Drosophila melanogaster: one gene and its partner. The protein of the gene in region 1 interacts with the protein of each later gene in a pairwise test. Each region holds a gene or a part of one and is shown in the gene's direction. Other genes may lie near its edges.

The links. Proteins that work in one complex are often made in the same cells at the same time.
Region 2: the proteins of CG8665 (region 1) and CG14414 interact in a two-hybrid assay, tested with the Drosophila melanogaster proteins (one large-scale study listed by BioGRID).

Annotation. Positions count from the first base shown.
Region 1 is NT_033779.5:21,368,415-21,379,276, forward strand, and holds CG8665 (uncharacterized protein), read left to right. Parts: upstream 1-2,812; 5' UTR 2,813-2,936; coding exon 2,937-2,942; intron 2,943-5,671; coding exon 5,672-7,777; intron 7,778-8,193; coding exon 8,194-8,823; 3' UTR 8,824-9,581; downstream 9,582-10,862. Other genes in the region: Gr39b (gustatory receptor 39b), read right to left, coding at 408-1,292.
Region 2 is NC_004354.4:14,577,869-14,584,822, forward strand, and holds CG14414 (uncharacterized protein), read left to right. Parts: upstream 1-2,731; 5' UTR 2,732-2,797; coding exon 2,798-2,809; exon of another isoform or gene 2,810-2,871; coding exon 2,872-2,978; intron 2,979-3,026; coding exon 3,027-3,171; intron 3,172-3,713; coding exon 3,714-3,806; intron 3,807-3,880; coding exon 3,881-4,165; 3' UTR 4,166-4,306; downstream 4,307-6,954. Other genes in the region: mRpS25 (mitochondrial ribosomal protein S25), read right to left, coding at 4,316-4,487, 4,631-4,825, 4,889-5,025; nmdyn-D6, read left to right, coding at 5,885-6,084, 6,161-6,416.

The DNA of each region.
Region 1 (10,862 bases):
GTTTAACTGCAGGTATAAATCAGAAGTAGACGATTTTCCTCTTGGAAAATATTAGAAACAAAATTATAATTCGATATACACCAGTATTCGAAAATATATAATTTTGATAAACATCTCAGGAACGAATATACAATAGAATATACCTAGAGGAAGAGTCGAAAATAGTTCAGCTAATTAATGGAAAATAAAATCCTTCCTTAATTTGATGGTTTGATAGTTTTTAGACAAAAGATATTTTTGATTTGAATTTGATCAAAATCGGACGACAATATCATAAAGCTACCTTGGGAATATTTGATTTTGTTTTTGATCATAAATTGTTTCTTTTTTTTCATAAATTAAATTGTTGCAAGGGTATATAAGCTTCGGCTTGCCGAAGCTAGCTTCCTTTCTTGTTTTTTTATAACCTGTCGTTGGCAAAACTCTCCACAACGGCAAAACACTAAGATGTTGAAGAATGAGGGTACAAAAACGGAAAATGTTGCGTAAAGGTATTTGTATTCATAAACCTCTACCAGAACCTGCTGGGTCCAGTAAATATTGACGGTACTATCTGAAAACAGAACCACGTAGGTGCCAAGTATGGACCAGCCGAAAAGATCGTTGAAGTGGGTAAACAGATAATGCAGTTGCATATGGCTCTGCTTAAGTGCTAACAGAAACTCTAGGGAGCAAAGCCGATTGGCATTGCCGTCCAATGTGCAGTTGGCGCCCATCAGATGACACTCTAGTACGTTTTGAAGTCGTATGCCTAACAGACTCACGTGGTGACCCAGCAATTCTACGTTCAAAAGAACCAATACGAATTGCATCCTTATAATAAGGATTGACAGGAGGGAGGACCAAAAGTAGAGAAGGCTACCGCTTAGAGCAACATAGATGGATGGCAATACCGTCACCAAAAATCCAATACCGAGTGCTAGAATTTTAGCATACGACTGCCACTTTAACCGCCCTACATGTATTTTAAGTTCGCACTGCAATCGAAGTCCCAAGTACTTCATCTCTCTGCAGAACCTGAAGTAGTCATCGTAGTGAACCATCACCTGAAGTATAATCACAGTAACACACACAATCCTAGCTACGAAAACAATCACGTTAACCATAAGAGAAAGAAATAGTTCTGCACTCTGAGGAAAATAAATTGAAATCCCGAAATGAACTGCATTTAAAATTATTAGGATCGCTGAGTACACTTTCTGTACGAACTTAGATTGGGCACAACTCTCTGACCAAGGCACAAGCCCCAAAAGGGCAAAGTATTTGAGGTACGGATGAAAGGAATAGAGCATGCCGTACGGTTGAAAATATACTGGCTCTATGCTGTAAGTAAATGATATTGCCTGAATATTTAAATTCTACCACTTGGCGTTATGAGCTACTAATTTTCTAATTGATCGGATAACTTGCCTTCTCAGTCAATATTGTTCCGTTATTGCTAACCACCTAGGAATCCACCTTTTTGGATTACCTGCCTCATATATATATATGCCAATGCAAACAATCTTTTCAGGAGAAAGAGTAATTTAATAAATGTGTTGTTGAATTTGTAATGGAATTGATATACCTTCGTTGTACACTGGAACAATATTAATTCCAATAAAAATTTTGTCCAGCCTTCTGGTCGTAAACGGGAGAAAGCGGTCCGAGGGCCGCGACTGTCAGATACCCATTATGGAGATAATAGAAGTGCGAAGGTACGTTATAGATCTATGTAAGCATAAATTTCCTTAGTAAACTGAAATTTCAGCATGCAGTGATGTGATGGCACTTTCCAAAAAACTTGGAACAAACTTTTAACTATTATCGCCAATTTTCTAAAAACGAATTATTATTTAAATATTGATGACCCAAAAAAAAAAAAAAATCAGATAATGCTATAGTTCCCCGACTATCAGATACTCAGCTAGTGTGAATGCGAACGCGAAATTTCATTATTTTTTCCATATAAAATCGAAAATTTTTTCAAAAATTTGGGCGTTGCAGTTTTGGCGGTTTTAGGGCGTTAACACATTTATAAAAAGTGTGGGCTTGGCAGTTTTGTGCGGTTTGTGGGAGTGGCAACATGGGTCAGCAAACTTTGCGCTGCGTCTTTGTTTCTAGATCTGTACGCTGAATCTCAACCTTCTAGCTTAAATAGTTCCTGAGATCTTGACGTTCATACGGATAGACGGATGTGGCTGGAACTTAGTATAGTCGGAAACGCTTCCTTCAGCCTGTTACATACTTTTCAACGAATCTAGTATACCCTTTTACTCTACGAGTAACGGGTATAACAATTTAATCACCTACGAATACCTTGAGCACGACGTGGCCGCCAGAGAGACTTTAGTGTTGTTGGCGATTTTGTACGGTTTACGTTAGGATTCACTAAAAATTGTATGCGGATGAGTTAAATATATACCTTAAAGCGGCGAAAACGGTCCATTGTACCTGTTACATACTTTTTAACGAATCCACCATACTCCATTCTCAACGAGTAACAGGTATACATTTATTAGTACGCTCATCATATTCGCTTTCCGAAGTTATCGCCCGCTGTATTATCAGCTCGTTTCTATAATTTAATTTGTGAGCTATTGTCAATAGGCTGCATACGTTTTTGTATACCCTTGTAGAGAGTATATATTCTTGATTTGTATAAACAGCTGAGTCGATATAGCTGTCCGTCCGTTGTTATTGCAAGGGTATAACAGCTTCGGCTTGTCGAATTGAGCTTCCACTTTAGGGGTTTTTGTTTTTAATAGTTGATAACGATAATGAAGTGCTCAAGTGCTGTCAAGGTATAAATACGGCCCGAATTGTAAACACGAAGTCAGTTGATAGTTTGCAGGCTCTGAGAAAATACCCAAGTGAAAACGGAGTGTAGAGTACAATATTGAAAGCTACCTGATTAATATTGTTTTTTCTAAAGTGCTGAAGAGTATTCACCAGTAATGGCTGTTAGTATACATCTGATTTAAATAAGTCGCTTTAAGAATAAACTTTCGGACCACGAAATTTGATACATAATTGATATGCACATGTGTGTATGTAGAGGCATCGCGTTATTACCTACAGTACAATTAGTCTCCTGTGTAGTCGCCAAATAAAAAATGCCGACAAAATCATACCCAGTGCTTTTCATACAACAACAACAGAGAATGCTATAGTCGAGTTCTCCGACTATAATATACCCGTTACTCAGCTAGTGGAAGCAAGATCGGAAAATTTTATAATTTTTCTGGCATATCGATAGATATTGGAGAGTATAATGAAAAAATTAGGAATTTTTGGGCGTAAGAGTGAGCTTAGCTAAAGCTAATTTCTGTTGCAAATCGATCAAAATTCAAACGACCAATAAAAAAATAAAAAAATATAAGAAGGATGAGGACAGATCGACTCGGATATTGATCCTGATCAAGAATATATACCTCATATGGACGGAAACGATTCCTTCTACCTGTTATATACTTTACAACGAATCTATAAAAGACAAAAAACTGACAAAAATTTCGATTTCCAAGTCCCATCGCTTTTAAAAGATTTAGACGCTTGGCGATTTTTCAATAAGGTGTAATTCAACGCGTATTTACGACAAGAACTCTTAAATAGTTTTGTCTGTGTTTTTACCCCAGTCCCACAATATGTTTTTAAATTTTTGCACTTACATATAATTTTTTCAACTTCTTTTCAAAATCTCTTTCGATTGGTGTATTACTCGTTATCAGACTTTCTTCGTGCAAACTTACACTGCGCGTCATCAGATTAGCGCCCCCTGCATGGCTCCGTTTCTTCTTATGTTCTGTATTTTGCCATTGCACGAAAATCTATCAATGTTCTTGTTTTTTGTTCACTGATATTCCTTTCTCTTTGAGGATAAAAAAGGTCCTGAGAAGAACCTTTATCTTGTTAATTCTGATTTGTTTTACTTTCGGCGAAAAATTGAGCAAGTATTTTGAATCATTAGATTAGGTTGCTTTAATTTAGCGAAAAAATGGGAATTGTTATCCTCGCTGGAAAAATTCAAAATCATATTTTTCTATAAATGCGGGCTGTCTCATCGTGAACTTGCAGAAAAAACGGCAGAGATCGAAAACTATAGGACATTTTTTTAAAAACAAGAAAACTTGTGGAAAAAAACTATAAAGGTGGCAATAACCTTATCTTTAACACGGAAGATCGCAGGTTTATACGTCGAATACCCTCCAATTCCCACGATTGATTCAATGGGTGCTTTAGAAAGCTAAATATTTAAAACACGAAAAACTGAATAAAAAAATACCTCTTAATAAATTTTGAAAAAAAAGCACACCTGAGTTTTGCCCGAGCTCATATGATTTGGTCTAAGGAGTGGCATTATGTCGTATTTCCCGACGAAAATAAATTTAATGCGGAGGGACCAGACGGCTACAGTCATTACTATCATGACTTGCGTAAAGAGGAGCTCATTTTGGACCGCTTACACAGTCGGGTTGGAGGTGTCATACTATGGGTCGCTATATCCTATAATGTTCCCTGTGAATTGCAGTTTATAACACCAAAAATTAACGCGAAAGATTATAATAGATTATTAAAAATTGCATTTCCCTACTTTAAAAACGTTGTTGGAAATCTAGAATGGCATTTTCAGCACGACAATGCCCCAATCCACACTGCACGTTCGGTAAAAACATGGATTCAAAATGGAAATGTAAAGTGGCCACCATAATCCCCAGACCTTAATATAATAGAAAACGTGTTAGGATGGTTGAGTTTGATGCTCTTGAAAACAAAGGAAGATTAAGTCATTATTAATTTCCTTTAAAACTTTAATATTTAAATGTTAATCAACTAATTTTTTCGAAATGAATCGAAAAAACTTTAAACATTTCATTTATAAAATTGTTCAACTTTTGAGCGATAAATTTTCCAAAGCTATCGCAAATTTTTTGTGCGTTTCGTCCCTTCGTAGACTGCCGTCCGCAGCGATATAGTTTCGGAAATCAGCGTTCATACTTGACTTGGTCAGATCAAAGACTTAATATATACGCGTCCTTCTACCTGTCTTCCCAAAAACAATTTGGCCATTTGTCATAAAACGGCAAAAAACGTGAAACCCACAACTTAAAAGCAATTAATTATTTATTATTACTGTAAACAATCCAATATCGCAAAACCCAACCGTCCTGGAAATTGTAATACTTTAAATCGAATGCTAAATCAATCAATTGGAATCATCGGTATTCGAGCGATTAAGACATGTCATTTTTATTATTTTCCCTTCTTTATTGTTGTCTCAATAACGTCTTTCATTAGCCTATTTACATTGCACATATTCATATTCCATTGCTCAGCATTCTACTCTACTCTGAAATGTTAGCAAGCAATACATTTAAAAAGACTGATTTTGATAAGTCCTTTCTGAATGAGAGAGAATGCTATAGTCATGTTACCCGACTATCAGATAAACGAGAGTCAACTTTTAAAAGTTTGTTGAAATATTCATAAATAATAATAGGTAATAAATAAATAAAACAAACAAATGTTTATTTTTCTTCGTAATAGCATACCAACCCAAACAAATTAATAAGCTTTAACTATTTTATGAATTTTTATATTAAGGGGAAACTAATATTTGATGTAGCCAACCCAAACAAATGAAAAAAATCCTTCTAAAATTTGTTCCTTTTTATTTCAATGCGCTTTTCAGCTAAAAATGAGAATCGCAATTATAGGACAGAGCAATTTTGCTGCTGATGTTCTGGAGCTTCTGTTGGATCGCTCAAATATCCAAATTGTAGGAGTCTTCACTATTCCAGATAAAGGCAGTCGAGAGGATATTTTGGCTACTACTGCTACCATCCACAATATACCTGTTTTTAAGTTCGCATGCTGGCGTCGCAAGGGCGTGGCACTACCTGAGGTCTTGGAACAATACAAGTCCGTGGGGGCTACCCTGAATGTGTTGCCCTTCTGTTCTCAATTCATTCCCATGGAGGTGATTAACGGGGCGCTATTGGGCAGCATTTGTTACCACCCTTCTATCCTCCCACGTCACCGCGGAGCGAGTGCCATATCGTGGACACTGATCGAGGGGGACGAGGTGGCCGGCTTCAGCATCTTTTGGGCAGATGACGGTCTTGACACAGGACCCCTACTGCTAACCCGACAAACAAACGTGGAATCCACGGACACTCTGGACACCATATACAAGCGCTTTTTGTACCCCGAAGGTGTGAAGGCGATGGGCGTCGCCGTGGACATGGTGGCTAGTGGTACAGCTCCCAAGATAATTCAGCCGGAAGTGGGGGCAACCTACGACCCGGCTATGTTTAAAACAGAAAATCAGGTTATCAATCTTCAGGCTACAGCAGAAAAAATTTGGAACTTTGTTCGTGGTCTGGACTCAGTTCCTGGAGCCATAGCAACGGTTCTGCACGGGAATGGCACAGAGGAGCAAATTCGACTCTTTGGTGCTCATTTGTACTCTGCTGGCCCCGTGTCGAATGGAAAGGTTCTTCGTCTAAGAGGCTTAACAAAGACCGCCTGGATACACAGCGGTGGTCTTCTTATAGAGGGAACAGACGGTGCCTTTGTCAACATTCGCCGCATTAAGCGTGGCACAAAGGTAATCAGTGCCAGCGAGTGGTTTAAGCAAGCTGAGGACCAGTCTATCACTGACTTCAGCGAGGACGAATTGGTAAAGCGATCGTTGCTGGCTGGAATTTGGAAGGCAATACTTAAGGAAGATGTCGAGTCATCGACTGATTTCTTTGCATCCGGAGCTGGTTCAATGGACGTGGTGCGCTTAGTCGAGGAAGTTAAAGAAGCCTTTGACGTGCCCCTGCAGAACGAGCAAGTTTTCATGGCGCCTGTGTTTGAAGAGTTCTTTAGCCTGCTGGTTAGGTTCCTTCGACAGGGAAGTGCCGGTTTCGGTAACCAGCAGCTCGATTTTGAGGCATTCACGCTGAAAGCCAACAAAAGAGAGATTCGAGTGCCCACACAACTTTTTATCAACGGAGAGTTTGTTGACGCCGAGGCTCAACGCACTTTGGAAATTGTAAACCCTACTAATGAGGAAGTGCTTTGCAAAGTGGCATGCGCTTCGGCCACCGACGTGGACAAGGCAGTGCGAGCAGCGCATTCTGCCTTTTATGGATCTTGGAGGCAAATAACACCCAGACAACGAGGCCAGTTGATGCTGAACTTGGCTGATCTGATGGAACGAAATAAGGAGGAGCTGGCCACAATTGAGTCAGTCGATTCGGGAGCGGTTTACACGCTAGCCCTTAAAACCCATGTTGGAATGTCCATCGAAGCGTGGCGCTACTTTGCCGGATGGTGCGACAAGATCCAGGGCAACACAATCCCTGTTAACCCTGCGAGACCCAACAACGTACTGACCTTCACCCGTAAGGAGCCAATTGGTGTATGCGGTTTAATAACGCCTTGGAACTACCCCCTGATGATGCTTTCCTGGAAAATGGCCGCCTGCATTGCCGCCGGGAATACCTGTCTCATAAAGCCTGCTCAGACCTGTCCCCTGACCGCTCTAAAGTTTGCAGAGCTAACTGTCCGAGCCGGATTCCCCCCCGGCGTTATCAATGTCCTGCCTGGAAAAGGTTCAGATGCAGGCCAGGCAGTGGCAGACCATGAGCTGGTCCGCAAACTGGGGTTTACCGGGTCCACACCCATTGGCAAGCACATTATGAAGTCATGCGCAGACTCCAACCTTAAAAAGTGCTCCCTAGAGCTGGGCGGCAAGAGCCCGCTAATTATCTTTGCAGATTGTGATATGGACAAAGCCGTCAAACACGTGAGTGAAGATCTATAAATAATATAAATAAAGAGCATTTATGATTTAGCTTTAAATTAGATTGGGAACAATGTTGTTGATGCGGTCAACTCTGTTGGCTAAAGATATAAAATGTATTAGTACGATATCATACAGTTAATTCTATAGAGTTTATCTTTTGTTTCTGCTTCTTTGTTAATGAAAGTACTGTTAAAAATAACAAATTATAATTAAAAATGTTACTTTAAAGTTAAATACTTATACCTGTTACGAGTTAATTAAATGTATATTATGTATTTTCATTGAAAACCGTATACGGGACATTCCGTATGTCAAAATTATTTATAATGGGTTAATCGTATCTTGCTTAGCTTAATGTACCAAACAGTCTAACGATACAATGTATAAGTAACAGTAACTTCCTCTTTTTCATTTAGGGCATGTCCTCGGTGTTTTTTAATAAAGGAGAGAACTGCATCGCCGCTGGACGGCTTTTCGTGGAGGATCGGATACACGACGAATTTATCCGACGCGTCCTTAAGGATTTGCGCACCATGACAATCGGGGACCCACTTGACCGCTCGACGGCCCACGGGCCTCAGAACCACAAGGCGCACTTTGACAAACTGCTGGAGTTTTGTAGACGTGGGGTCGACGAGGGCGCAAAGCTGGTGTACGGAGGATGTCGAGTCCCAAACCTCAAGGGATATTTTTTCACTCCCACAGTGTTTACGAACGTTACGGACGATATGTTTATTGCCCAAGAGGAGTCCTTTGGACCGATCATGATAATATCCAAGTTCAATGGCAGCGACATAGATTCATTGATGCAGCGAGCTAATCGCACAGAGTATGGCCTGGCCAGTGGCGTTTTTACAAAGGATATTGGCAAAGCGCTTAACTTTGCGGATCGCATCGAGGCCGGCACTGTGTTCGTCAATGTATATAATAAGACTGATGTGGCTGCTCCATTTGGGGGCTTTAAGCAGAGCGGTTATGGCAAGGACTTGGGTCAGGAGGCGCTTAACGAGTATCTTAAGACCAAGTGTGTCACAGTTGAATATTAGAAGGCGGCAGTCCGCGTGAGCACTATGAGCACTCCAACTGCTATTGTAAGTCCAAAATGAGTGGAACACCGTTAAGAGACGGGAATTTTCAACATTAATTCTTTTCGGTTTGTCTTACTGTATTAAATCTTTGTTTCACGCCTTGGAACAACATATAATGTTAAACAGCTGAAAAATAAAAATGGATTGAAGTTTTTCTAAATAAACCTAGTTTAGCGGAAAATTTACAAATTTAGATAGTGGGAAGCAAATTTGAAATTCTTGTAGGAAATCTTTAGAAATGGGAAAGATAAACAATAAAATATGCCAAAAAAGGTTTGGTCACGTTAACGCTCACAAACCGAACAACCCTGCCACGCCCACAAATGTATGTTTTGTTTTTTAAGAAAGCGTTTCCGACCATATAAAGTATATATATTCTTCATAAGGATCAATAGTCGAGTCGATCTGACCGTGTCCGTCTAATCGTCTGTCTGTCCGCATGAACGTTGAGATATTAGGAACTTTTGAAATTTGTTTTGATATTTTTTCATATTTTTAATAGTCTTGTTAATTCGTATATTTCTTCACATTTTTATTAGTCTTGAATTTTTTTTTATAGATTTGACAAAAAACTTTTTGCCGCGTCCACCCTAACGCCCTAAAACCACCCAAAACTGCCACGCCCACATATTTGAAAAATTGTTAGATATTTTTTCATCATTTTATTAGTAGTGTAAACATTTATCGATTTGCAAAATAAATTTTTTGCCACGCCCAATTTTTAAATTTTTTGTTATTCTTATGTCTTTGGTTTACCCTTATTAAGATGGTTGGTTAAGTTAATTGTATAGAATTTAAAAATACCGCGGACATAGATTCAAAAAGAACTTTAAGTTTTCTCCATGTCAAGCGGAAAATAGAAAAATCAATACCTCGCATATTACCGGAAAAATCGAGAGCTTCTTCTTCAGTCCGTTCTCTTTCGCTTACTGCGCAAGACCACTGGATTCGGCGTGCTTTTAAATTCGTCACTAGAACTAAAAGCTTGTGGCCTTCGACTACGGCGTACGCCTCTGAGATCTTTCTACAGTTACAGTTGTTACAGAGTAACAGTGCGTCGATGTAATTATCTAATTATACCCGCTACTCGTATAGTAATATGGTACACCATATGCTAGATTCGTTAAGAAGAACTGGTAGAAAGAAACTTTTCCGACCCTTACAAGTATATTCTTGATCTGTCCGTCCGTATAAACGTGGAAATCTGGGGACTATGTTAAGATCGACAAGTGATCCTAAGCAAGAATATATACATATGTGTATATTTTGTATTAAAAGTACAATTAGAAAACCATTTGTCTTTTATTATTTATTTAGAAGTAATGGGGACTTTTTGGTTTTAATTTATATAATACTTACACTTTGAAGACTTCAGTTGTAAGATTTTGGGATCAACATAATCATTGTATTTAAGCATAAATATCATAATCATAAATATTTCTGTATATTCGGGTTTACTGTGTATATTTAAAGATAACAATGTGTTCTTATAAAAGTTCACCTGTTATGTGTGTCCTAATATTATCTCCCACAATTTCCAACGTATTTATGCAGATTAACGATTTTAACATTATTATTTTTCCGTCCACAGTTTTTAGACCTTCACATATTGGATCAAGAATATTTCTCATATTTCTATCGATTTGCCAAAAAACTTTTTGCCCCGCTTACTACCTAAAACCGCCCAAAACTGCTACGCTCACACTCTTGCAAAATGTTTTAATATTTTTTCATAATATTATAAGACGTCTAAATTTCTATTAATTTGCCAAAAAAAAACCACGCCCAATCTAACTTTTTATCATTATATATATATATATATATATATAATATATATATCTATCGATATCCCAGAAAAATTTTTCTGAGATCTCGACGTTCATACGGACGGACACATCGTGATAAAGAATACATATACTTTATATAGTCGGAAACGCTTTCTTCAGCCTGTTTCATAATTTTCAACGAATCTAGTATACCCTTTCACTCTACGAGTC
Region 2 (6,954 bases), on another chromosome or scaffold:
AAATCGTCCTTTTGGCTCCTTGCCGCTCAAGTACATTCTCAGCCTAGTTTATATGCCACAGAACACAGGACCCATGACAAAATCATTACAACCATTTCGTGTAGTTATCGTTACACATATGTATGTATGTATGTACAAAATACATACACTTGCCCCGCCCACTCGCCCCTTTTCATGATGTGATGTTGCTCTAGGAAATGGCAAAAGCTGTAAAAAATTTGCATTTTTATAACAACTTAAGTCACCAGACGACTTTACTTTTCCAAGCACTTGAACTGGTTTGCTTCCCATACAAAGTTTTGCATGCGTGTCACCCCCACTCAACTAACTCCTACTCCCCCGCCCCCCACTCGTGCCACGCCCCCCCCCCCCCCTCAGCCATATCTTGGCATAGCTAAACTATGAGCACGGCTAGAAATATAAATAAACACCATATTAGTTTTGGCACTTCAGACTTATAGAGTTTAATTACGAGCCTTAACTTTAAGTGAAATATGCATGTATGTATATATAATACAAATTGAAAGCACTCATAAAGTCATTCATTTCAAACGTTTTCTTACAGTGTAATCTAGTGCATTTATAAAAGCAGTTATATTTATGAACTAGAAAGAGAAAACGATGCTCCAAAAAAAAAAAAAGAAAGCATAACCAAAAAAATAGTGTCCATTTTGCAATTTGCCGCCGGCGCGGTGAACGCAAGGCAAAAATTGTTAAAAGACCAAAGGACGAGGGGGAAGTGGCTTCAAAGTGGGCGGAAAAGGGGCTTCAAATGGGCAGGGCGTGGCAGTGGATAAGTGGGGACATATGCAGGGAATAGCACCGAAAACAAAATAAAAAAAAAAAAAACAGCACCGAATTTCCTCAGCGGAAATTCATTTCGTTGAGAATTTTCCGGGCACGGAAATGATGAAGTCCATAATTGGAAGCACTAGCTTTATTCGCACAGAAACTAAAAGAAATTCTAAAAGAAATAAAAACAACTGCAAAGCAAATGGGTCATCTAGTTAATAAACTTTTGAGAATACCCAATATTTAAGTCGATGCTCTTCAAATGCAATTATTTTGGTTATTGGATTAGAAACATCGCTTGTGATAAAATCAGAAACTTAAAGCTGCCGCTGCAATTTGTATGACCTGCACCCACGAAATTGGCATTTTGGCGCCATCAAGTGATTTGCTGGCGAAATTACGTATGCAGAAAATGACCAACATGTTGCTCCCAGGACTGTGGCATAAAAAATTGGCATAGGAATGAGGCAGTTGCAAGGGGCAAGGGCAGGATGTCATATAGAAATGGCAGCATGCATACTAAAAATGCACTTCTGAGATGCACTGAAAGCAAACTTCTGAGACAAATATCTCAATCGAAAGTATATAAATCAGTATAAATCATTGAAAGGGGAATTAATGATTTTTTAGAAATAATCTTTAGAGTAAGAAAAGTGCTTGGGCTAGCATATTTTCTCGCAGTGTTCTGGCCTGGCTGCAAGGACCTCTGTCAGCGGCAACTTCTTACATATGCATGCCAGTGCGTCCTGGCTGGACAAACTCGATATGCATCGTGGAGCCCGGCGTCTCGGTGAATTATTTAAATAAATGGTGGAATGGTGGCGGGGCAGAGATCAAGCGACAGCTTTTTTATCATCGCCCCCTAAATCATGGCCACTGTGCCGTTGTCCTTCTGCAGGACCTTTTCCGCTTGTTAGTGGCGCTCGCTCGCACAACGATGGTAATTTGCAAAGCCAAAGGAATGCACGAGCATGGGCGACAACACTAAACTAAACTATATGCGAAATACCTAAACTTTGGAAACAAAACGTCAAAATAAATGAAGGAGCTTTTAATAAATTGCCAAAATATGCTTTGAAAAGGGAAGAGTTTCGTGAAAACGTGGGCTAAGCCACTAATTTAGTTGCATAGCATTTGTTATAAGCATTCAAACAAATAACTAACTAAAAGGTTTCTCTGCAAAAATGCAATATATACGATATATGGCTAAAAACGCGAAATTCATTTTTATTCCCTTTGCCATATTGAGACCAAATTCCTACACAATTCGTAGTCAACTTGCCATAAAAATAGCTTGCATATTTGCACTCACACATCCAGTCGGTGTCCAGAAATGAAGATGTCGGAAGTTGTCCTCCAAAAATGCGGGGAATGGGGGTTAAAAAGTTCTGGCCAAGAGTAGCTGGCCCGGGACTTATCGCATACAATGCGCATTAGCAGTGTCTACATGAGGCCCCATCAACTCATGCCCATCCTGTTCCTGTCCCCAGAACGGCTGTTGCATATTTCAAAGGACATGGCAGGGTCCGCTTTTTGTCATATCGTTTTGGAGCGCCTGAATCCGTTTGCCCTTTTCCTCGGCTGGAAAGTGTTTCTTCGGCTTTACTTATTTATATTTTAAGAGATGGTTTCCAAAAGTATCTATTATTGAAAAACAGATAACTAAAGCACAACTTTCTATAATTCAGCATATTATAGCAATGTGTTATATGTTAGTATATAAGTAGAAGCCATTATTTTATTAAAAAATAGAGATTTTTCTATGCACACATATTGATTAGATTTTTACTCGAGTTTCAATTACATTTTGAATTTGAACTCACCTCACTTGGTTTCGTTCTCGGCTACCGTGTGGTGAATAGCTGAGCGCGGTGTGTGCACTTGCTGGCCCATCGATAAGAAGCGGTTATTCCACCGATATTTATGTCTACTATTCCACACACTTTTTGCACATCCCTAAGCCCAATAGACTGCATTTTAATTTTCATTTATTTTCGCACACAAAATGGCTAGCACTGTCCGTAAATCCGCGTAGAAACGCTCGCCACTCGCATTTCAGTTAACAAAATGTCCTTGCAGGCCGGAACGAGTGGGTCGGGTGGCTTAAGCGGCGGCGGCGGCGGCGGTGGAAACCCCGAGGAGGCGCGTCGCATCTGGGTTGGGAATCTGGACTCACGGATCACCGAGTAAGTTGTGCCTGGCATATATGCAGTGCGATTCCATGGTGCTAATAGTTCAATTTGCATTGCCCCCTATCGGTTTCAACTCCTCAAACTGATGCAAAAATGCGGCGCCATCGAGAAGTTCGACATGCTGTTCCACAAGGGCGGTCCCATGGTGGGACAATCCAGGGGCTACGCCTTCGTCACCTTTGCGCAGGTGGGTGCAGTGCCTCATTGGCGGCAGGCGGTGCAGCGGCTTTAATCAAGAAAGGATCAAGGATTATTGTGCTTTTTAACTTGGCTATTTTGGTATTTAATCCTCAGTATTCTCAAGCTCATTTATGCAGTGCGGCGAACTCTGTATCTATACTCGCAGATGCACTAGCCTAAAAACGCAGCTATGTTATTTTTATATCTGTCACCCATACAGCAAAAGGGTACACGACTTGCAGAAAAGTATGTTCAAGAAGAAGGACTCTTTAAAATGCATATATACATCACTAACTATGTATATATATCATATAGATTCTATAGAATTTGTTATGTACAATGGTTTTCTACATCTTAGCTAGGAAAATACGCAAGCAACAACTTTAGAACATTGTCTAATAACCAGATATTAAGAATCAATTACATATGCTGAAAGTTATCTTTTAGGATTTGTCATTTTATAGTCAGCTTAAATATGTGGCTGCACCGCCTTGAATGATATTTATTACTTAGCTATTCCCACTCACCAATCCCAAAAATTCACTCCAGAACGAGGGAGCCACCAATGCGCTACTGAAACTGGACGGAACCAGCGTGGGAAATCGCTCGATAGCCGTGCGTTTGGCCAAGAACATTAAATATGTAAGCAAAGACCTTCGAGTCACCAAGCTAGCTATCCAAACTTCAAATCGATTCTGTTTCCTATATATATATAGGATGAAACGCAGAAGCCAAAGCCGCGCCTGGATATACCGGCCTTGGGCACAGGTAAACGCGAGGAGAAGGTCAGCAAAACGGAGGCCATTCGGGCCATTGAGGCCAAGCTGAAAATGTTGGAGCGCCAGACAGACGACAATCTCGAGCTGAATACAGCGGGCAGGGGCGAGGCCAACGTGCCCTTCATCCAGCGCTATCAGTTTAACAAGGATCGCGACGGTTCGCAGCGCTACGGAAAGTCATCGGCTCCATATCATCACCAGCAGCGTCCCAAGCGCCACTAGGCTCAATCGACCCACACTCGACTTTGCCACCGTCTCACGCATTAGTCTGTAAAAATCATTAGTACTTAGGGCGCTACCTCAGCAGACGAGCCTTGCAGGTGTAATTTACAATTAATTTATTAAAAAAAAAGGTACAATCAGAGCGAACGTCTATTTGGGTGCGAACAAGATCTTGCCGCGCATGTGATCGGGCAGCGGCACGGTTCCGGGACAGGGCACCTGGCCGGGGATCTCGCAGATGCAGTGCCTGCCGCATCCGTAGCCAAAGTTGGCCGGATTGTCCTTGCTCTCCTTTAGGCGCTCCTCTGCGTCCAGTTGCTCCCTGAAATTATGGAATAGGATGTGTATTAAGTTATAGCTTATGATGCTGAAAAGGTATCAGAACTGAGCTAGCTTCTTCTTAACTCCCAACTCATAGTTCTACAAAATGTGATACACGAATAGAATCTTGATGTGTGTTCTCACCGGGTTTTGCCCACCACCTTAACCAGGTGATCGATGATGTCGTTCCGATTCCGACTGTCCAAATCTATAAGCATATCGCGTCCATCGTCGAAGTAGCAGCGCACAAACGGCGAGGGCGTCATGTTCTTCAGCGTGAGCACCTGGACCTCGGGATTCTTGAACTGGATCTGCGGTATGTTCCAGAAAACAAAGTCCCTGTGCGCATTGCATTTATTAGCGTATATTTCAGTTATTAGACAATTCTATGCCATAACTTACCGAGCGCCCGCGTGATGAGCACCATATGTGTTGTAGTTCACGCTGAAAATGCGCACCTTGTCCTTCAGCACCAGCTTACCGGCATTCAGATACTTCAGGGTGCGGCGGATGGGCTCACGGCCCTTCATGAACGGCATTTTGCACTTTTAATTCAAATACGCCTAAGTAAAACAAAAGAAATCCAATAAAAGAGCGGCTGCTTGTGTAATGCGAACAGCTGATCGGTCGGCTAGTGGCTCCCACAAGGCGCAAGCGGAACTATCGATATAAGCGCGGTATCGATGCAGACCAGAAATGTTTCCACTTAAAAGAAAAAATACGAATATTTATATGTTTTTATATGGGCGTGGCAGTTTTGGGTGGTTTGTAGACGTAATAAAGAGACATCAGGAAGAAACCTGAGCTGCTTGCATAATCTTAACTTTCCAGCATTTGCTCTGACGAGCGTTAGAGTGGGTGTGGTAACATTTGGAAACAAACTTGCGTCTACGTCTCTAGAAGCTGCATGCTTCATCTCAATATTCTAGCTTTTATAGTTCCTGAGATCGAGGCGTTCATACGGACAAATGGACAGACGGACAGGGTCGGAACAACTCGGCTATTGATCCTGATCAAGAATATATATACTATACATACGGAAACACTTCCTTCTGCCACTTACATACTTTTCAACGAATTTAAAATACCCTTTACTCCACGCGTAACGGGTCTAAAAATGGGTAGAACTATTATTGACTAACATAATTAGAAAACGCGTTAAATCTTCAATCTTACATTTTTTAAATTAAAAAAAAATTTTTTTTTTTGAGCATGGTCTAAAAAAGATAAATGCTTGCTTATATTTCATTTCAGTGGAGTACGTCTATTAAATGAAACAACACTTTCGATTTCTCTGGTCATATATCGATAGATCCGTTAAGCCGAACCGGCTGGCTAATTTGTTTACCTCTTAAACTTAAACTTTAAAGCTTCTTATTCTACCACAATCAGCAGGACATGGAAATAACACTCGCTCTGATAAAGCCGCACGTGCTGCGGAATACCTATGCAATGCAGCAGATCCGAGCCCTGATCTCCCAGAACTTCACCATTCTTGACCAGAAGGAGGTTTGCATTACGAAAGAACTATCTGAGCGATTTTACGCGGAGCATAAGGGAAAATTCTTCTACCACCGACTAACCAGTTTTATGAACAGGTTCGTATAGTGCCTGGGCACATCCTTAAATCCTAAGCCACTTAGTTGGTATAACCATTTGGTATATCTTCTTCAGCGGACCCAGCTACGCCCTGATTCTCCAGTCGGAAACCTGCATCCAGAAGTGGCGCAGTCTTCTGGGTCCCACCAAGGTGTTCCGTGCCGTGTACAGTGATCCCAACTGCATCCGGGCATTGTACGGAATATCCGACACTCGCAACGCCTGCCATGGATCCGACAGCGAGGCATCCGCCCTCCGCGAGATCAGCATCCTGTTCCCGGAGTTTGACGCGGCTGTTGGGAGTCGCCAGGCGAAAAGGGAGGAGGCGTAGTCGAGGAGTTCTTGATCCTTAGATTGATCAAGATGTCTACTACCAAAGCAGTTCATGAAAAATGTTTACATGTTGTTCAAGTAGCTATTGGAATTGTCCTAATTTATGTTTCTTATTTTTAATGCCTGGCATTTTTAGATTAGTATTTAGGCTAGACTAGAATGTTGTCATATGGTATGCTTTAAAAGTAATTGAAGTTTATGATACTTTTTGTGACTAGTGTACTAATATGTTTATATATTTATATATATATATTAGCAAAACAAAAACTATACTTCTTGTTGATAACTAATAAGAATTAGATGATTAAGGAATTTGGCAATGTTCTTTCGAAAGAAAAATCGCTGTAATAAAAGAAGTCAATTGAAAAGTTAATTTTTTATGAAGTTACTAACAACACCCTGCCGTAGATGGAACTATGGCAATTAACTTGAGATAACAGCGACATGTGTTTCAAAAACTTTATTTCGTCAATTTCCGGTTTACATAATACAATTCTTTTGTTATTAGGTGGTAGGTACATGTATAGATAGAGATT